Saccharomyces cerevisiae S288C: one gene and its partners. The gene in region 1 interacts genetically with each later gene. Each region holds a gene or a part of one and is shown on either strand. Other genes may lie near its edges.

The links.
Region 2: mutations in FBP26 (region 1) and NDI1 together harm fitness more than expected from each alone (negative genetic interaction), as found in Saccharomyces cerevisiae (one large-scale study listed by BioGRID).
Region 3: mutations in FBP26 (region 1) and YJR098C together harm fitness more than expected from each alone (negative genetic interaction), as found in Saccharomyces cerevisiae (one large-scale study listed by BioGRID).
Region 4: mutations in FBP26 (region 1) and PHM7 together harm fitness more than expected from each alone (negative genetic interaction), as found in Saccharomyces cerevisiae (one large-scale study listed by BioGRID).

The regions. Positions count from the first base shown.
Region 1 is NC_001142.9:128,785-132,520, reverse strand, and holds FBP26 (fructose-2,6-bisphosphatase), read left to right. Parts: upstream 1-1,877; coding exon 1,878-3,236; downstream 3,237-3,736. Other genes in the region: retromer subunit VPS35, read left to right, coding at 1-1,420; SSY5 (Ssy5p), read left to right, coding at 3,569-3,736. UniProt on the Saccharomyces cerevisiae protein: Monofunctional, high-specificity fructose-2,6-bisphosphatase, which releases phosphate from the 2-position of fructose 2,6-bisphosphate. Has no detectable 6-phosphofructo-2-kinase activity.
Region 2 is NC_001145.3:27,766-31,793, forward strand, and holds NDI1 (NADH-ubiquinone reductase (H(+)-translocating) NDI1), read right to left. Parts: upstream 2,043-4,028; coding exon 501-2,042; downstream 1-500. Other genes in the region: Rag GTPase GTR1, read left to right, coding at 1-97; YML119W (uncharacterized protein), read left to right, coding at 2,846-3,919.
Region 3 is NC_001142.9:612,567-616,971, forward strand, and holds YJR098C (uncharacterized protein), read right to left. Parts: upstream 2,591-4,405; coding exon 620-2,590; downstream 1-619. Other genes in the region: JJJ3 (Jjj3p), read left to right, coding at 1-365; ubiquitin-specific protease YUH1, read left to right, coding at 3,010-3,720; AIM25 (Aim25p), read right to left, coding at 3,785-4,405.
Region 4 is NC_001147.6:160,417-165,831, reverse strand, and holds PHM7 (Phm7p), read right to left. Parts: upstream 3,477-5,415; coding exon 501-3,476; downstream 1-500. Other genes in the region: ATG34 (Atg34p), read right to left, coding at 1-118; YOL085C (uncharacterized protein), read left to right, coding at 3,818-4,159; alcohol dehydrogenase ADH1, read left to right, coding at 5,238-5,415. UniProt on the Saccharomyces cerevisiae protein: Acts as an osmosensitive calcium-permeable cation channel.

The DNA of each region.
Region 1 (3,736 bases):
CGCTTATTTAGTTATTGAGGACAAACTCCAAGTTCAGCGCCTGCTTTCAATCTGTGAGCCCTTAATAATATCAAGAAGCGGACCGCCCGCAAATGTTGCATCCTCGGATACAAATGTAGACGAAGTGTTTTTTAATCGACATGATGAAGAAGAATCCTGGATACTGGACCCAATACAGGAAAAGTTGGCACATTTGATTCATTGGATAATGAACACTACTTCTCGGAAACAAACAATGAAAAACAAAATTCAATTTAGCTTAGAAGCCCAATTGGAAATATTACTTCTTATTAAATCTTCGTTCATTAAAGGTGGCATCAATGTTAAATACACTTTTCCAGCAATAATCACAAATTTTTGGAAACTGATGAGGAAATGCCGTATGATACAAGAGTACCTTTTGAAAAAAAGACCCGATAACAAGACGTTACTTTCCCATTATTCCAATCTTTTAAAGCAAATGTTTAAATTTGTTTCTCGTTGTATCAATGATATCTTTAATTCTTGCAACAACTCATGCACAGATCTGATTCTGAAACTGAATTTACAATGTGCCATTCTAGCTGATCAATTGCAATTAAACGAAATTTCATATGATTTTTTCTCACAGGCCTTCACAATATTTGAAGAGTCTCTAAGTGATTCAAAGACTCAGTTACAGGCTTTAATATATATTGCTCAGTCTTTACAAAAGACAAGATCACTCTACAAAGAAGCTTATTATGATTCTTTGATTGTCAGATGCACACTCCATGGATCCAAATTATTAAAGAAACAAGACCAATGTCGTGCTGTTTATTTATGCTCCCACCTCTGGTGGGCAACGGAAATTTCAAATATTGGTGAGGAAGAAGGTATCACAGACAACTTCTACAGAGATGGTAAACGGGTGTTAGAATGTCTACAAAGGTCTCTCCGTGTGGCGGATTCTATAATGGATAACGAACAGAGTTGTGAGCTAATGGTCGAAATATTAAATAGATGCCTCTACTATTTTATTCACGGGGATGAGTCCGAAACTCATATATCGATAAAATACATCAATGGTCTGATCGAACTAATCAAAACAAACTTAAAATCGCTAAAACTAGAAGATAACAGTGCCTCTATGATTACCAACTCAATCAGTGATTTGCACATCACCGGAGAAAATAATGTGAAGGCAAGCAGTAATGCTGACGATGGCTCTGTAATCACAGATAAGGAATCAAATGTTGCCATAGGATCGGATGGTACGTATATTCAATTAAATACTCTGAACGGATCTTCCACGCTAATACGCGGAGTCGTAGCAACTGCTTCAGGTAGTAAATTACTGCACCAACTGAAGTATATCCCAATCCACCATTTTCGACGCACTTGTGAGTACATTGAAAGTCAAAGAGAAGTTGACGATCGTTTCAAAGTCATATATGTATAGTTAAATAACGTACTTGCTCTTCGTACATGCCCAAGATAAAAAAAAACTACACAAATAAAGCTAATAAAAATTTACCTAAAGAAGGATCATAGATTAAGTGGAAGGAAACTTGTACATAATTCGAGTTTATTTTCAACTAAGATATCAAGGATTGTTTACTATAAAAACACTTAATTGGGTAATTTCTATTTTTTACTTTTTTTCTGTGTTAAAAAAATGGGTCGCGCCAATGCGCTCACAAATCTATTCTTATCCCTAACTTACATCTACATGTAAAGCGCCACTAAGAGAGCTATAGCTTATCATACATTTACATCAGGTAAAGTATCATTTTGGCCAGTGGATACGAATTTAATATATAATCTTTGCTTTCCCTTCGCTCTTAAATTCACCAAGCAAGTTTGTTAAGAAATAAAGGAAAGGGGGCTCAAAAACCGAATCAAGTAAGACAAGAAACATGGGGTACAGTACTATTTCCAACGATAATGATATCAAAGTATGTGTGATAATGGTTGGCCTACCAGCTAGAGGAAAGTCTTTTATTTCCCAAAAAATTATCAGGTACTTATCGTGGTTATCCATAAAAGCCAAGTGTTTTAATGTGGGAAATTACAGAAGAGACGTGAGTGGAAATGTCCCAATGGATGCTGAGTTTTTTAACTTCGAAAATACAGATAATTTTAAACTCAGAGAATTGGCTGCCCAAAATGCCATAAAAGATATTGTTAATTTTTTTACTAAAGAAGACGGATCTGTGGCAGTTTTCGATGCTACTAATAGTACACGTAAAAGAAGGAAATGGCTTAAAGATATATGTGAAAAGAATAATATTCAACCGATGTTTTTAGAGAGCTGGAGTAACGATCATGAACTGATTATAAATAACGCTAAGGATATCGGTAGCACATCTCCTGATTATGAAAACTCTGAACCTCATGTGGCGGAAGCTGATTTTTTGGAAAGAATTAGACAATATGAAAGATTTTATGAACCTTTGGACCCCCAAAAAGATAAGGATATGACGTTCATTAAGTTGGTCAATATTATTGAAGAAGTAGTAATTAATAAGATCAGAACATATTTGGAAAGTAGGATTGTATTTTATGTTATGAATATTCGTCCTAAACCAAAATATATCTGGCTCTCCCGTCACGGCGAATCGATCTATAACGTAGAGAAAAAAATTGGCGGGGATTCATCACTGTCTGAAAGAGGCTTTCAGTACGCTAAAAAATTGGAGCAGTTAGTGAAAGAGAGCGCAGGAGAAATAAATTTGACCGTGTGGACTTCCACCTTAAAAAGAACACAACAAACGGCAAATTATCTTCCCTATAAGAAACTGCAATGGAAAGCACTTGATGAATTAGACGCTGGCGTTTGTGACGGAATGACGTATGAGGAAATTGAAAAAGAATATCCTGAAGATTTTAAAGCACGTGATAATGACAAATACGAGTACAGATATCGTGGTGGAGAATCATACAGAGATGTAGTGATTCGTTTAGAGCCCGTCATTATGGAATTGGAGCGCCAAGAAAATGTTCTCATTATAACTCATCAAGCCGTACTTCGGTGTATATATGCATATTTTATGAACGTTCCACAGGAGGAATCCCCTTGGATGTCAATCCCACTACACACATTGATCAAGCTGGAGCCTAGGGCCTATGGCACAAAGGTCACCAAAATTAAAGCAAACATCCCTGCAGTGAGTACATATAAAGAGAAGGGTACAAGCCAAGTAGGTGAGCTTTCTCAAAGCTCAACTAAACTTCATCAACTGCTCAATGACTCTCCTTTGGAAGACAAATTTTAAATTTTACTTTTTATTTTTGTGTATCTTAAGTCCAAGCTTACTTGTGGCTGATACGCACAATCTTTTATGTACGAAAAGATCAGGAAACGTAGCATTGATGGTTTTTTATGTACGTCTGCAGCATTGTATGTAATTATTACCCAAACTAATTTTAAGTGAAATTGTAGAACGCCGCGGCGGAAGTATTTTTGAGTAAAAAAAAAAAAGTAAGATTCGAAAATGAAATTATACAGTACAGAAAACGTAAATATACAATAAAGGTTGAATAAACATACTAGATATCCTCCTTTCTTTTTGCATGTACATAGTACTGGTGTAAACTCGATATACCGATGGTCAGATTTTTTGGTTTAAACAAGAAAAAGAACGAAGAAAAGGAAAATACAGACTTGCCTGCAGACAATGAACAAAACGCAGCAGAAACGTCGTCTAGCAACGTATCTGGAAATGAAGAAAGAATAGACCCAAACAGTCATGATACGAACCCTGAAAATGCAAAC
Region 2 (4,028 bases), on another chromosome or scaffold:
GTCCAATATGGTGTGTTTTATAGTGTTGAAAGATATGAATATTCCACAAGAATTAGTATTGGAAAACATCAAAAAAGCCAAAGAGTTTTTCCAATGACTGAGGTGAGTAGACGAAACATTCGGCAATTGAGTGTTTGCGGGGCATAAGAATTATAAAGCTTTCGTTACGTATATACAAATGGGATTTGGCGTATAAAATAAATAGAGAAACATAAGAGGAAGAAATAAATAATCACAGATATATATATAGGACAATGGGAGGAAAAAGCTGAAGTGATCAACCAATCTTGTCGGGGTTTTTTGCTTGTGCATTAGTCAAGCATCATTTCGAAAAAAGTGGGAATATATAAATAATAAAACATCATGTGCATTTTTTTGTGCGTGTGTGTGTGTGTTAGGTTTTGTTTAGAGGGTTTTAGAAAAAAAAGGATGCAAACTCAGGAAAAAACGGTGCCTACCACCTTTTTTCCTTTTTCCAGAAAAGGGCATGTTAATTTCATCTATAATCCTTTAAAAAAGTCTCTTTTGAAAAATGCTAATTTAATCCAGTCGAAAAAGACCTTTAATCTCGATCTTGCAGATAGAATCATGGACAAGTACAAAATTCTCCATAAGTAGAAGGTCATTAAGCCACCACCGGTGTAAAATGTTCTCTTACCGGAACGTATGGTTGCAATGGCCCTTTCGGATCCCAGGTATGCTAAGGCACCTAAATCGTTGTATTTGAAAGGTTTAAAGTTGTTCTCCTCGAACAAGAGATCAATTTTATCCTTTCTTGAAGATAGATTCTTTTGGAAATTTGGTATTTGAGCCATTTTATCAAAATTCTTGGCCAAATATTCGGCCTCTTGGTGCGCTACTTGGGCGGTTGGTGGCAACCCAGCAAATGCATTGTCACCAATGGCGAAAATGTTGTTGCTGCCTTTCACCTGCAAAAAGTCATTCACTGCCAATCCTCTCTTGGACGAGTTTTGCTCAGGAATTTTCTTGAAAAGGTCAGTGATTACCGGTCTTGCCTTGTTACCCGTGGCCCAAATCAAAGTACCGTATGGAATAGTTTCTTCGGTTATTTTACCGTCTTCGTGTTTGGTCTTTGCCAACAATTGCTTTTCTTCAACTTTGGCGACAGCCGTTCTCAGATGTACTTTGATCGAAGTGTTTTCTAAATGTGATTGCGCGTATGATGAAAGCTTTTTCTCAAACATATTCAAAACGATGGGCAGAGCTTCGACCAAGTGAATTTGGACTTCTTCGGCCAATGCAGGGAGAAACTTTCTCAGGTCCTGGTGAACATAATCCTGTAGTTCACCAGCGGCCTCTACACCAGTAGGCCCACCACCAACCACGACAATGGACAGTAGTCTTCTTCTTTCGGGATCACCCTTTGGCAATAAGTTAGCCTTCTCTAGATTGGCGGCAAAAGTTCTTCTTATTTCCAAAGAGTTGGGAATTTCCTTCAGGAAATGACCGTAATCAGTGACCCCAGGAATACCAAATGTGTTAGGTTCCGCACCTACAGCACTGATTAAATAATCGTACTTAATTTCAGCAGGTTCTGCTTGATGCAGCCCTAGATGGTTTTCAGGTTGGTATAGCTGGCTAACGGCAGATAATGATTTTATGGTAACGGTATTCCTGTCGGGATTGATAGAGGTGGCTTCTGCCTCATAGTAGGTAACGTTCCCCTTTTTCTTGAGAGCAAAATTAACGATGGGCTCAATAATTGACTTTTCGTCTACTGTCCCAACTGGTGCAGAAGGTAACAAAGGCGTAAATAAGAAATAGCTTCTAGGAGAGATGATGGAAACGTTGTACTTCTTGGTGTCAATGTGCTTTAAAAACGAAATAGCTCCCCACCCCGAACCCAGTATCAGCACGTTTGGTTTGTCGCTGTGCTGAGGGTCAATGACTTTCATGGTCTTAAAAGATGTAGGACCTGCTCCGGAGTTTTCCACCCCTGTGGATCTGGTGGAAGCGAATCTGACTAGCGTATTCGTCGAGGTGAGCAACCTCTTGTTACTATACAAATTCTTCGATAGCATAGTGGTTTTTAGTTTCTTCTCTTGGGTAAACGTGTAATTCGATGATGTGATGAAACTGACACCCTACCTGAAACTCCTCAATTGGTAGTTAAAACTCCTTCCCCACTATGCCCTATACATCTTATATATACCCTGTCGACGTTGCAAATACCGGCAATAACCAAGAGCGCTAAGGGGGAGCACTCTTATTGTGGTTACCCGGACGTTCAATGCCTTCATATGATTGGTCCGAATGAATAGGTCATGAGAAAATGCATATTTTTGAGGCATTTCAGCAATGATCGGCAATCTGCACATATTCGTATTGTTTCCCTGAGTAAGTTATTTGCGGAAAGAGACATTCTATTGCTTTGGAGTATTTTGTGGTCTTCGACAATAAAGCGAAGGAATAATAGGTTCGTTGCTAGCGACAAGCAACACATAGTTGTAGTGATGCTATAGCAAAGAAAGGTCACAGATTCATTATTGACCTTTTAAATGGTGCCCAGTGGCAATTGCCGTTTTAGCATTCTTTAAATGCGTAGTATATGAGTTTTAAAGTGCTTTGTTGTTCACGTGCTTTTCACGTGTATGATTACTTAACCGGGTAGCGCCGGTCTTTAATATGCTTTCCAGATTAGGAAAGAACATAAATAAAAACACAAAATAAGAAAGTGTCAATCATCCGCATTGAAAGAAAGAAAAGATTTTTTTATCCCTCAATTGTACATGAAAACAGAGACCTTTCAAAACGTATTTTAACATTCTTTTACTCTTTTCTTGCACCTGCAGCCTTAGGTCAGTAAGAAAAAAAGTAGGTAGCAATGAGCCCAAGTCCATCAGTGTCGCCAAGAAGGACGCTCAATAACAAATCATCTTACATCAATAACAGCGGTGGGCTGGTCCTGCCTCCTACGCAGTTTAATTTGAATCAGCAGCCAGTCCTGAGCTTCCAACAAAAAGCGACTTTCGATTCCAACCAGCAGTTTTTCTATTATCCAGAGTCACCCACAAAAAACCTGAGACCAAGGTTTAACAGTATTTCGCAGGTTAATAAAGGAGTTAATGAAGACCATTATACCGGGGGCGGTAGCAGTAATAATAACAGGCCATCTAGATATACAAATACCATGGGCGCTGCAAACACCAATGTAAATTCCCATCCGCATCATCAGTCGGTGTCGCATTTAAATTCTAAATCTCTTAAATTCAATCAAACGAAGGAAGTGAGCAGCATAAATGAAATTATTTTTCCTTCCAGAACGTGTACAAAGAAACGGTATTTTACCAAGCCAATTGATTTGTATGGTACAAGAAGTAGCACTAGTGTGGCACCTAAGTTGACGAATTCTCCCACGAAATCAAAAACAAATTTCAACATCAAGAAGTGCATCTTACCTAGGTCCGTCGTTACCACATATAAATTACCATCTCCAGTGCACGAAACGATAGACGATATATCCAAAAAAATCATAATCCTGCTAATTTCGTTGAAGTTTGAGAAAAACTATCACTTCTTGCAACCTATTCAATTGTCCACAAATAGTAAGACACGGATCTCAAAATCACTAGACGAATTATGCGGAGTGCAGCTGACATCAACGTTACGGCAACAAAAGCAGCTGCAAGGTAACAGCAAGCCCGTAAAGAATCTCCCTAATTCCAATGCGAAGCAGAGAGCCGGGGCCAGTGTTTCCACAAATGCCAACGAAAGCTTTGAATTGAGTTTTGATGGAAAGGCAATGGATAGATCTGATATATTTCGAATGGTAGATTCTTTTAGCATCGCCATTTCAGATGAAGATGAGGAAGATGAGGAGGAGGATAGCTTTCAGCAGAGAAGTGCGAACAACAGAATCCTCCCTGCGGAGATACTAAGTAATGAACCTTTGAAATGATACGGATTCTCTGTATTCTGTCTATAGTATTTATATACCAATACATTTTTCCGCACTTTGAAGTTTTGCATTTTACTTAATGTAGTTTATTATTAGTTGCCAAAACGAA
Region 3 (4,405 bases), 480 kb from region 1:
CAATCAATAAGATTCAAGATGCTTATAAAATACTATCGAATATAAAAACTCGTCGCGAATATGATAGGTTGATCCTTGAAAACTATAAACGCCAAGGATTTCATAATTGTGGTGATGGGCTGGATGAATTTTCCTTAGACGATTTCTCATTTGATGAAGATAAGCTGGAGTTTATGATGAATTGTCCTCGCTGTCAATTTGTTGGTGGTTTTCATTTTAGTGAGAGTTTGTTAGATGAATGCATTGATAATGTAGACGCTATGGAACGGAGTCATTCTGGTTATCAATTATTAACCCAATGTAGCGCATGCAGCTTATGGCTGAAGGTTAATTTTGACATCGAGGAAGAGCAAGAAGGACAATAATGAAAATGGGAGGGGAAATTGAGCATATCAGATAAATCTGTTTATAGAATTATTATTTTACTTCGTGGGAAATCGAATGGTGTATATAAAAGAGGTTGTAAAATTGACGAAATAAATAGTATTTAGGCAACTAAAGATAAAAAAATATTATTTATTTTTATTCGCGGTGCGTTGCCAGATTTTTTTTGACATGCGGAATTTTGGTAAAAAGAAAAATGCAGATATGAATAGTAAACAAAGGAATAAAAAGCCTTTCATGAAGAAGTTCGTGTTCGAGATCTTCTTCCTTCTTTTTCGCTGTCGACGATAGATATGAATGCTTTTGCCATTGATTTCAAATCCGTCATTAAGCTAACATGACCTGAAGAACTGGCGATTTTACAAACAACTGGAAAGCCTCTCTGTTCAGGCAATAACCATTTATGGTGAACAACACCGTCGCCCGGACCATAGTAAAAATCTTCATAATTCCCATCTTTTATATCTTGTATACCGTTCACTTTAGCACCTCTAACAGTGGGAACCTTGTTACCGTAAACCATGGCCAATGGAGGATATTCTTTGTTCGGGTCGTAATCTAAGCTATCCAAATAATTCTTTGTACGTTTTAAAGTTCTCGCTAAATATTCACAGCTATCTTCATAAGATGTATGGAAGACTTCATCGAAAGGCACATCCCTTGGTACCTGTTTATTATTGCCGGCTACATTCCTAACAACAGGTGCATTTAGGACAAACTTGGTAGTTGCGTTTAGGGTAGCTTTAAGCGAAAGCGCTGATTTCGTTTTCCTTGGTAATAATTTTGATTTTTCGTGAGCTGATTCCTCTCTTTTCTCATTGACGAGAGGTGACAAGCCAAGGGTTTTCCAAACATCTGTATCAAAAAAATCGAAATCATACCTCTCTAAGGTAATTTTGTCAACAAAACATCTACCATCTAACGGTAGAAAATAGAAACTACTTCTCATAAAAAAGTTGGTTTCTTTAGTGAAAATAGTTTTATTCCACATCACATCATCTCCAAACCTAATAGGACCTAAAATATTTGGACATTGGCTTGGGGAACCCACGTAAATAATACCTCTTATCAAATGAGTACAGTCTTGCAACACTTTATGTGCGACCAATCCGCCCATTGAATGGGCAATGATGTATATTCCCTTCTTATTTTTTTGCTTATTGTAAATTTCCTCTAGTTTAGTCGTTAAATGCTTGGCAGATATGTCCAAGGATAATCTCCAATCATAGCCAAACTGCTGAACATTTAAATTAGGATTTGCGTCTAGCCTCTTTATCAACCTCTTAGAGATATCAACAGGCCCTATATGTGTTAGCATTCCATCAGGGACAATCTCCTTCTGAGTTTTAAGTTCATCTTCGTCATTAGGTCCGATCAATAAATCGACTTTCGTCATATTCAAACCTGCCTTTAATGGGATCCAAATTCGCTTATGAGTAGTAGCATCCCTTAGCACACTACCTCGATATCCACCCATTATAACGACATCTCCTTCCAATTCATTCCATATAGATTCTAAACGCGAACGGTAATATCCGTCATGAGTTTTGTCGAATGGGTCTGCTGTTATTTGCTTAATGGAGTTCTTCAAGGCATCCATTTCCAAAGATTCTTTAACAGCCCTTAACCTTGAATTATCAATGCCCCTTTCGTATTTAAATAATTCTATCTCTTCCAAGGAAGAAATGGAGGTTGATTTTTTCAGTTTTTGCTTGATCTCATTCTTTCTTAGATTCTTTTTGATGAACTCATCTGGAGTCTTGGGAAGCACAGTTTTAATTATGGCTAATGGTGAACTTGATCGGAAATTTGTATTACCAAATGGTAAGGAAAAGGAGAAAGTTTTATGAGAGCTGTCATAGTTCCCGTCATGCGAATAAGAAATAATTTCATCGAGATCTTCATCATCAGCGTCAAGAGAAATGGCACTCGCTTGCTTCTCTTCTAAATTATGATAGTTATTGGGCCCAGTTGTTTCCTTCTTTCTTCCCCTTTGTTCACTATCGCTGTCTTTTTCTACTTTATTGCTTATAACTCTTGCACCTCCAATCAAGGTATCCACTTTCTCCATTGTATCCAATTCACCTTCGCTTTCATTTACGGAAAAAAAGCTTACATCACTACCACTATCACTTGAATCAGAAAGACATTGCTTGTTATATTTATCATTATCGGAAATAAGATCAGTAGCCGGAGTTGCCATCATTGTAATACTCCCCAGTTAACCTCTACAAGTTGATTCTTTTACGTATCACCAAAATAGGCAGGCTATTCTTACCCAGTCCTTTCTTTTTAAGGGCGTCATAGAGTTGTAAGCATTTTTTGAGAATGCAGTGATGAGCTATTAACTTCTCAAAACTTCCTGACGTTTTATTACCCGGATTGAAGTACCTTGTATTCTTGGAGATGTCTGTGGTCGAGTTAGGAAGTGTGAACATGCCTATCAACGCCCCAAAAACCAGTGCAGATAATGATCTGGAACAATTTTTCCGTGTTTTAAACTTCCTCAGTAGAAGTATTTTTATTTAGTCGACTATAAAGGTGGAAGTCCATACTTAAGAGATATTAAGGGTATTTTGATCAACAAGTAAGTAACAATCGTTATAAAAATACAATAGCAAAAGTATGAGCGGAGAAAATCGTGCTGTGGTGCCGATTGAATCAAACCCTGAAGTTTTTACAAATTTTGCACATAAATTAGGTTTAAAAAATGAATGGGCGTATTTCGATATCTATAGCTTAACAGAGCCAGAGTTACTAGCATTCTTACCAAGGCCAGTGAAGGCCATTGTGCTGCTATTTCCGATAAACGAGGATAGAAAATCGAGTACCAGTCAACAAATTACAAGTTCTTATGATGTTATATGGTTTAAGCAATCAGTCAAAAATGCGTGCGGATTGTATGCAATTCTTCATTCTTTGAGCAATAACCAGTCATTGTTGGAGCCCGGCTCCGACTTGGACAATTTTTTAAAATCTCAAAGTGATACTTCAAGCTCGAAGAATAGGTTTGATGATGTTACTACCGACCAATTCGTCTTGAATGTAATAAAAGAGAATGTACAAACATTTTCTACTGGCCAGTCAGAAGCACCAGAAGCAACTGCAGATACTAATCTACACTATATCACATATGTGGAAGAGAACGGAGGGATATTTGAACTGGATGGAAGGAATTTGAGCGGACCCCTCTATTTGGGAAAGAGTGACCCAACTGCCACCGATTTGATTGAACAGGAATTAGTTAGAGTGAGAGTCGCCTCATATATGGAAAATGCAAATGAAGAAGATGTATTAAACTTTGCTATGCTAGGATTGGGCCCTAATTGGGAATAATAATTGTTTTATTACTGCGTAGTCAAATATGTATTTACAGAATTCTTTTAAATATATAATTCACCTACTCATCATAGCCACCGCCAAAAGAAAGGAAACCTCCAGTTTGTCTGGAATGTCTCGAAAAATAATCGAAATCGATGGACACAGCGTTTGCTAATAACACGGCCCTTTGATCCAAAGTTAGTACTTGAGAACTTAGCATCTCAGTAGGATAAATATTATCAAAGCATCTCTGCGAATCAAATCTAACAACATAAACACCAGTATCGGTAAACATTTCTCTTCCTAAACCAACCCAATTTCTGTCTACACTCGCCATTATCTTACCATCAGCATCTGTTACAGGAAAATCAAATGATAAGAAAGGTGCATCTATCTTACCAAATTGGTCAAAAGTGGATCCTTCTACTCCATCTTTCTGGAATAATTCGTAACGACGCCTCCAGAGATGCCAGTTCTGAATGGTCTCTCCTACTGTCGTTCCTTCTTTACCGTCGTGATAGTGAGTGGAGTCACTGCCATTATCAACATACGCGGAAGGAGGTATGATAGTCTTTATATGAGAATTGATGAACGAAAAGGGCCTTTTAATCGTCATTATTACATTTCCCCAATTATCAAAGACATCTACCAAAAAAGGACGATGTAGACGATAAAACTGCCGCATTATGGCCTTTGTTAT
Region 4 (5,415 bases), on another chromosome or scaffold:
ACTTGTTAATACAACCCTTAATAGTGTCAACTTTGGTGTTTGGCGCTGAAAAAGTAGATTTTTTAAACTGATCGATGACAAAGAAGTCGAATAGTGTCGTTTCTACCGCAATTTTCATCGCGTCTCCGTAAATTTTTGATAGACACTCAACCTATAGGAACTAGTTTCAGATAATTACAATATTAACTCTGATTTGACTGACTGAGTTTCATGCCTGTTTATATTTTTTAGAGTGATCTATTTGGATGCTCTCATATGATTTTCCCTTCTCTTACTTCCTTTTTCCTCCCCACCTACTTTAGGGGTGCGTGTGCCATTTTTTTCTGTATACCCAAGCTCACAGATATGCGGATATATAAAAAAACATTATAGATATTATTATAATTAAACTAGGCTAGAATATGAATAGAACAGTATTATATAAAGACGTAAAAATCATGTATGCATTAGGGAAAAAAAAATCAAAGAAAAAGATAGAAGTGAAGAATGAAGCTAATTCATCATTTTTTAGCCTCAGGTTCATAATCAGGAGGGTTGTAAGTGAATATGACTTTTCCTTTTTCATCGTACCTTGTGAAATCATCTCTTACATCTAAGCCATTAGACCTAGCCTCTTGAATTTGCTGTTTTGAAACTCCTAACGGATCCTTACAGCACCACACAATGGGATCTTTCTCTCTGACACATGGATCGGTATAAGCAGAGCTCAAATATTCTTCATCGTATTCGATGCTGGTGTTGAAAACAAGTGGGAATCTCATCCTGACACTGTCGAAAGGATACGACCTTCTTGGGTTGAAGAATTGTAGAATTCTTCTTGTCCAAGTATTGGTTTCCAAAACATCCGGAGGAAATGCCTGAGGCTCTTTCATGACAGCTGCCGGATCACTGTAAATAACTCCCGCGTCAGCGTTTACTGGCACGGCACCTTCAGGTCCATGTTTACTATGATCATCCTCATCATAAGGGCGCTTATTTCTCAATGCCTCAACATCGCTGTAGTGAAACTTGCGAAACTTTTCACCCTCTGGAACAAAAGTAGATTCGTTGTTGTCCTTGGTAGAGGAGGAGAGAGTGCTTGATTTTTTGATAACAGTATCATTTAATTTCTTGATCGAGTCACTCTCTGCGTTCGATCCAGAGAGAGAGGCACGTTCAGAACCAGACTCAAAGGGGTTACTAGGAGTACCGTTCTCTGAGCTGCCATCGTTATCTGGTATCAGATTGGCCTTTTTCAAATCATCCTTGGTCACGGGCGTCAAAATCCCGTGTGTATTGTCTTGTTCGTATTTGCCCTTCATTTCATCTGCAATGTCCTTGATTTCCTGGAGACCCAAGTCCGATGTAGGATAGGAATAGCCGGGCTCACCTCTTGCATGTCTGATGGCGCTTAAAGGAACTGCGTCGAATAGCGGTATGAATTTCCTCTTCATATATATATGAGCTAGGGCAGTGACCACGATCCAAAACACTTCCAGGACCAAAGGACCCCAGGTTTTTGCCATGATAAACAGTCCAAGCAGACATACTTCACTCAAGTAAATTCCAACAAAAATCTGGAAAAGTGCTCTTGGATAATTGCGCCCCTTTAAATCGAAGGAGAAGCCAAACACGTAGTTTAAATTGTACAAATACGCCACATAAAGTAGCGTCAACATTACGGTACTGAAAAATAGCAGTATAGGGGCGATAATCGAGTAACAGATATAAATGCAAACCAGAATTTCAATGCCTGGGTAAACAATGCCCATGCGCGGCGTGGCCAAAGTATTGTAGCGGTTCCATTTTTGCCTTGGGGTAGAATCCAACACTCTACCTAGGACTTTACTTAGCAGCAAGTTAACTGCCTGCAAGATCGTCCATGTGGGGCCAGTTAAACCTTTCAATATGAAGTACATGATATAAAAGTTGGATGCCTTTGGCAAGTTATTTGCCAATAGTGTCATGGCGGATCTTGGTCTGTCAATAATCGAGTCAACGGTGGAAGATGCAGAAGAGGTAGCGGTGACAACTAAAAAGATTTGAATCACAGCGAAAGCGTAATACCATGCTTGGGAGTATAGATCCGTTTCTTGCCTAGTGACGCAACCACTAAGTTTCCCCAACATTACGATAAAAGGTGGCACTAGAGACATCAAAACGACCAACGCAATAGTAGGCAACAAACCAGTAATGACACCCATCAGGAAGGTGGGCATGTTGTTGATGAAACGTAAGAAGGGAACTTTATCGGTAAGGAAATTGACGTTGGAGATGATACCAACCACAGCAACGGGGAAAGCCCAAAAGATAATCAATAACACCATGATTGTATTTGCCACAGCTCTCCTGGAGTGTCTCTCCTTTGAACTGAGACGCATGCTGCCCCAGTTAACGTCTTCTGGCGAGTAGCCAATAAGACGCTTACCAAAATTTTTCTTACCCAAGATTGCTTCCACAGATTGGTAGCATCTTTGCGCTTCCAATTGAGTCTCGAACTGGATAAAGCAGGCAGGTTGCCTATCATTACTGGCCCAATCGGCTTGTTTTTCATGAATCTCTTCGTTCAATTCCCCAATCCTTTTACTAGAATAAGACAACGTATTAACTTTTTTGCCGCCTAGACAAAGCGGCAATTTTCCCAAACGATGTTTAGGGCGCTTTTTATGTGGCACGTATGTCTCTAAATCGTCCTTTGGCTTGGTACCGTTATTGTACAACTTGTCAAGTTGCTTTTGGGTCTTGTTTCGGGTCATTTTCACGCACTTGTTTAGAACCTTATTCAACGCAGCTTCGTACTTCGCAGCGTTCTTAGCTCTTTCTTTACACAATTCTTGCAAGTCTGAGAGATCATACGCGAAGGCCACATTGGAAGCCTTGGGGAAACGCATTTGCATCTCCCCCTCTTGAGCGATGCTCTTGTGCAATTCTGTGACGATAACCGTCCTAGAAGACAGCAGTCCGTCATAGAGTGGTGTTGTCTGCATAGCATGTCTAAACACGACGTAGTAATACAGCTCCTTGTAGATGACATAGGTGAACAGGCCAAAAAAGATCCACGAGAGGAAAACGTGCGCGTAAAACCTGTTCTTGTTGGTAACATTTGAAAATGATAGCAGTTCAAAGCCTTGAAGGTTGTTACCGTTGGTAGCGTTCACGGGAAGCAATATCGGTAAAAGAAGCAAACAGCCCACAAACGAAAGTGAACCCACGATACCGATATATCTTAACAGAAAATAGCCGTCCACGCTTGTGTGCTGGATGAGAAACGAGTGCGGTTTCGAGAGTAGATATTCAACCCACCCGAAGTAGCCTTCAGGAACTGGTTCCGTTCTCTCTTCCTCCGGAATAGTCTGAATGTCCTTAAGAGACCGTGGCTCGTATACTCTTCTATTCTTGGGCCGCAATAGCAAAAAGAGCCAGACAAACACGACGGCGGTAAGACCGTAGATAATCAGGGTTGAAATGAACGCCGAAGTCGAAGAACTGTCAGCCATAGTACGTATGTGCTATAAATATCTAACCTTTCGCTGCTTTGAATATGATGTGCTCAAATATAACTTAATATAATAGTATAACAAAAAGGAGTACTATTTGCTAAATATCGTAGACGTAGTAGACATAGTAAATACAATAAAGGATAGATAACCAAGAACCCACATCAAGCGAATACATACATATATATATACTCGATGTATACATGTTTCTAAGCACTTGCGCACATACGTATTTAAAGTATTTCAGGGAGATTAACGTATTAAAACAAGAAGAGGGTTGACTACATCACGATGAGGGGGATCGAAGAAATGATGGTAAATGAAATAGGAAATCAAGGAGCATGAAGGCAAAAGACAAATATAAGGGTCGAACGAAAAATAAAGTGAAAAGTGTTGATATGATGTATTTGGCTTTGCGGCGCCGAAAAAACGAGTTTACGCAATTGCACAATCATGCTGACTCTGTGGCGGACCCGCGCTCTTGCCGGCCCGGCGATAACGCTGGGCGTGAGGCTGTGCCCGGCGGAGTTTTTTGCGCCTGCATTTTCCAAGGTTTACCCTGCGCTAAGGGGCGAGATTGGAGAAGCAATAAGAATGCCGGTTGGGGTTGCGATGATGACGACCACGACAACTGGTGTCATTATTTAAGTTGCCGAAAGAACCTGAGTGCATTTGCAACATGAGTATACTAGAAGAATGAGCCAAGACTTGCGAGACGCGAGTTTGCCGGTGGTGCGAACAATAGAGCGACCATGACCTTGAAGGTGAGACGCGCATAACCGCTAGAGTACTTTGAAGAGGAAACAGCAATAGGGTTGCTACCAGTATAAATAGACAGGTACATACAACACTGGAAATGGTTGTCTGTTTGAGTACGCTTTCAATTCATTTGGGTGTGCACTTTATTATGTTACAATATGGAAGGGAACTTTACACTTCTCCTATGCACATATATTAATTAAAGTCCAATGCTAGTAGAGAAGGGGGGTAACACCCCTCCGCGCTCTTTTCCGATTTTTTTCTAAACCGTGGAATATTTCGGATATCCTTTTGTTGTTTCCGGGTGTACAATATGGACTTCCTCTTTTCTGGCAACCAAACCCATACATCGGGATTCCTATAATACCTTCGTTGGTCTCCCTAACATGTAGGTGGCGGAGGGGAGATATACAATAGAACAGATACCAGACAAGACATAATGGGCTAAACAAGACTACACCAATTACACTGCCTCATTGATGGTGGTACATAACGAACTAATACTGTAGCCCTAGACTTGATAGCCATCATCATATCGAAGTTTCACTACCCTTTTTCCATTTGCCATCTATTGAAGTAATAATAGGCGCATGCAACTTCTTTTCTTTTTTTTTCTTTTCTCTCTCCCCCGTTGTTGTCTCACCATATCCGCAATGACAAAAAAATGATGGAAGACACTAAAGGAAAAAATTAACGACAAAGACAGCACCAACAGATGTCGTTGTTCCAGAGCTGATGAGGGGTATCTCGAAGCACACGAAACTTTTTCCTTCCTTCATTCACGCACACTACTCTCTAATGAGCAACGGTATACGGCCTTCCTTCCAGTTACTTGAATTTGAAATAAAAAAAAGTTTGCTGTCTTGCTATCAAGTATAAATAGACCTGCAATTATTAATCTTTTGTTTCCTCGTCATTGTTCTCGTTCCCTTTCTTCCTTGTTTCTTTTTCTGCACAATATTTCAAGCTATACCAAGCATACAATCAACTATCTCATATACAATGTCTATCCCAGAAACTCAAAAAGGTGTTATCTTCTACGAATCCCACGGTAAGTTGGAATACAAAGATATTCCAGTTCCAAAGCCAAAGGCCAACGAATTGTTGATCAACGTTAAATACTCTGGTGTCTGTCACACTGACTTGCACGCTTGGCACGGTGACTGGCCATTGCCAGTTA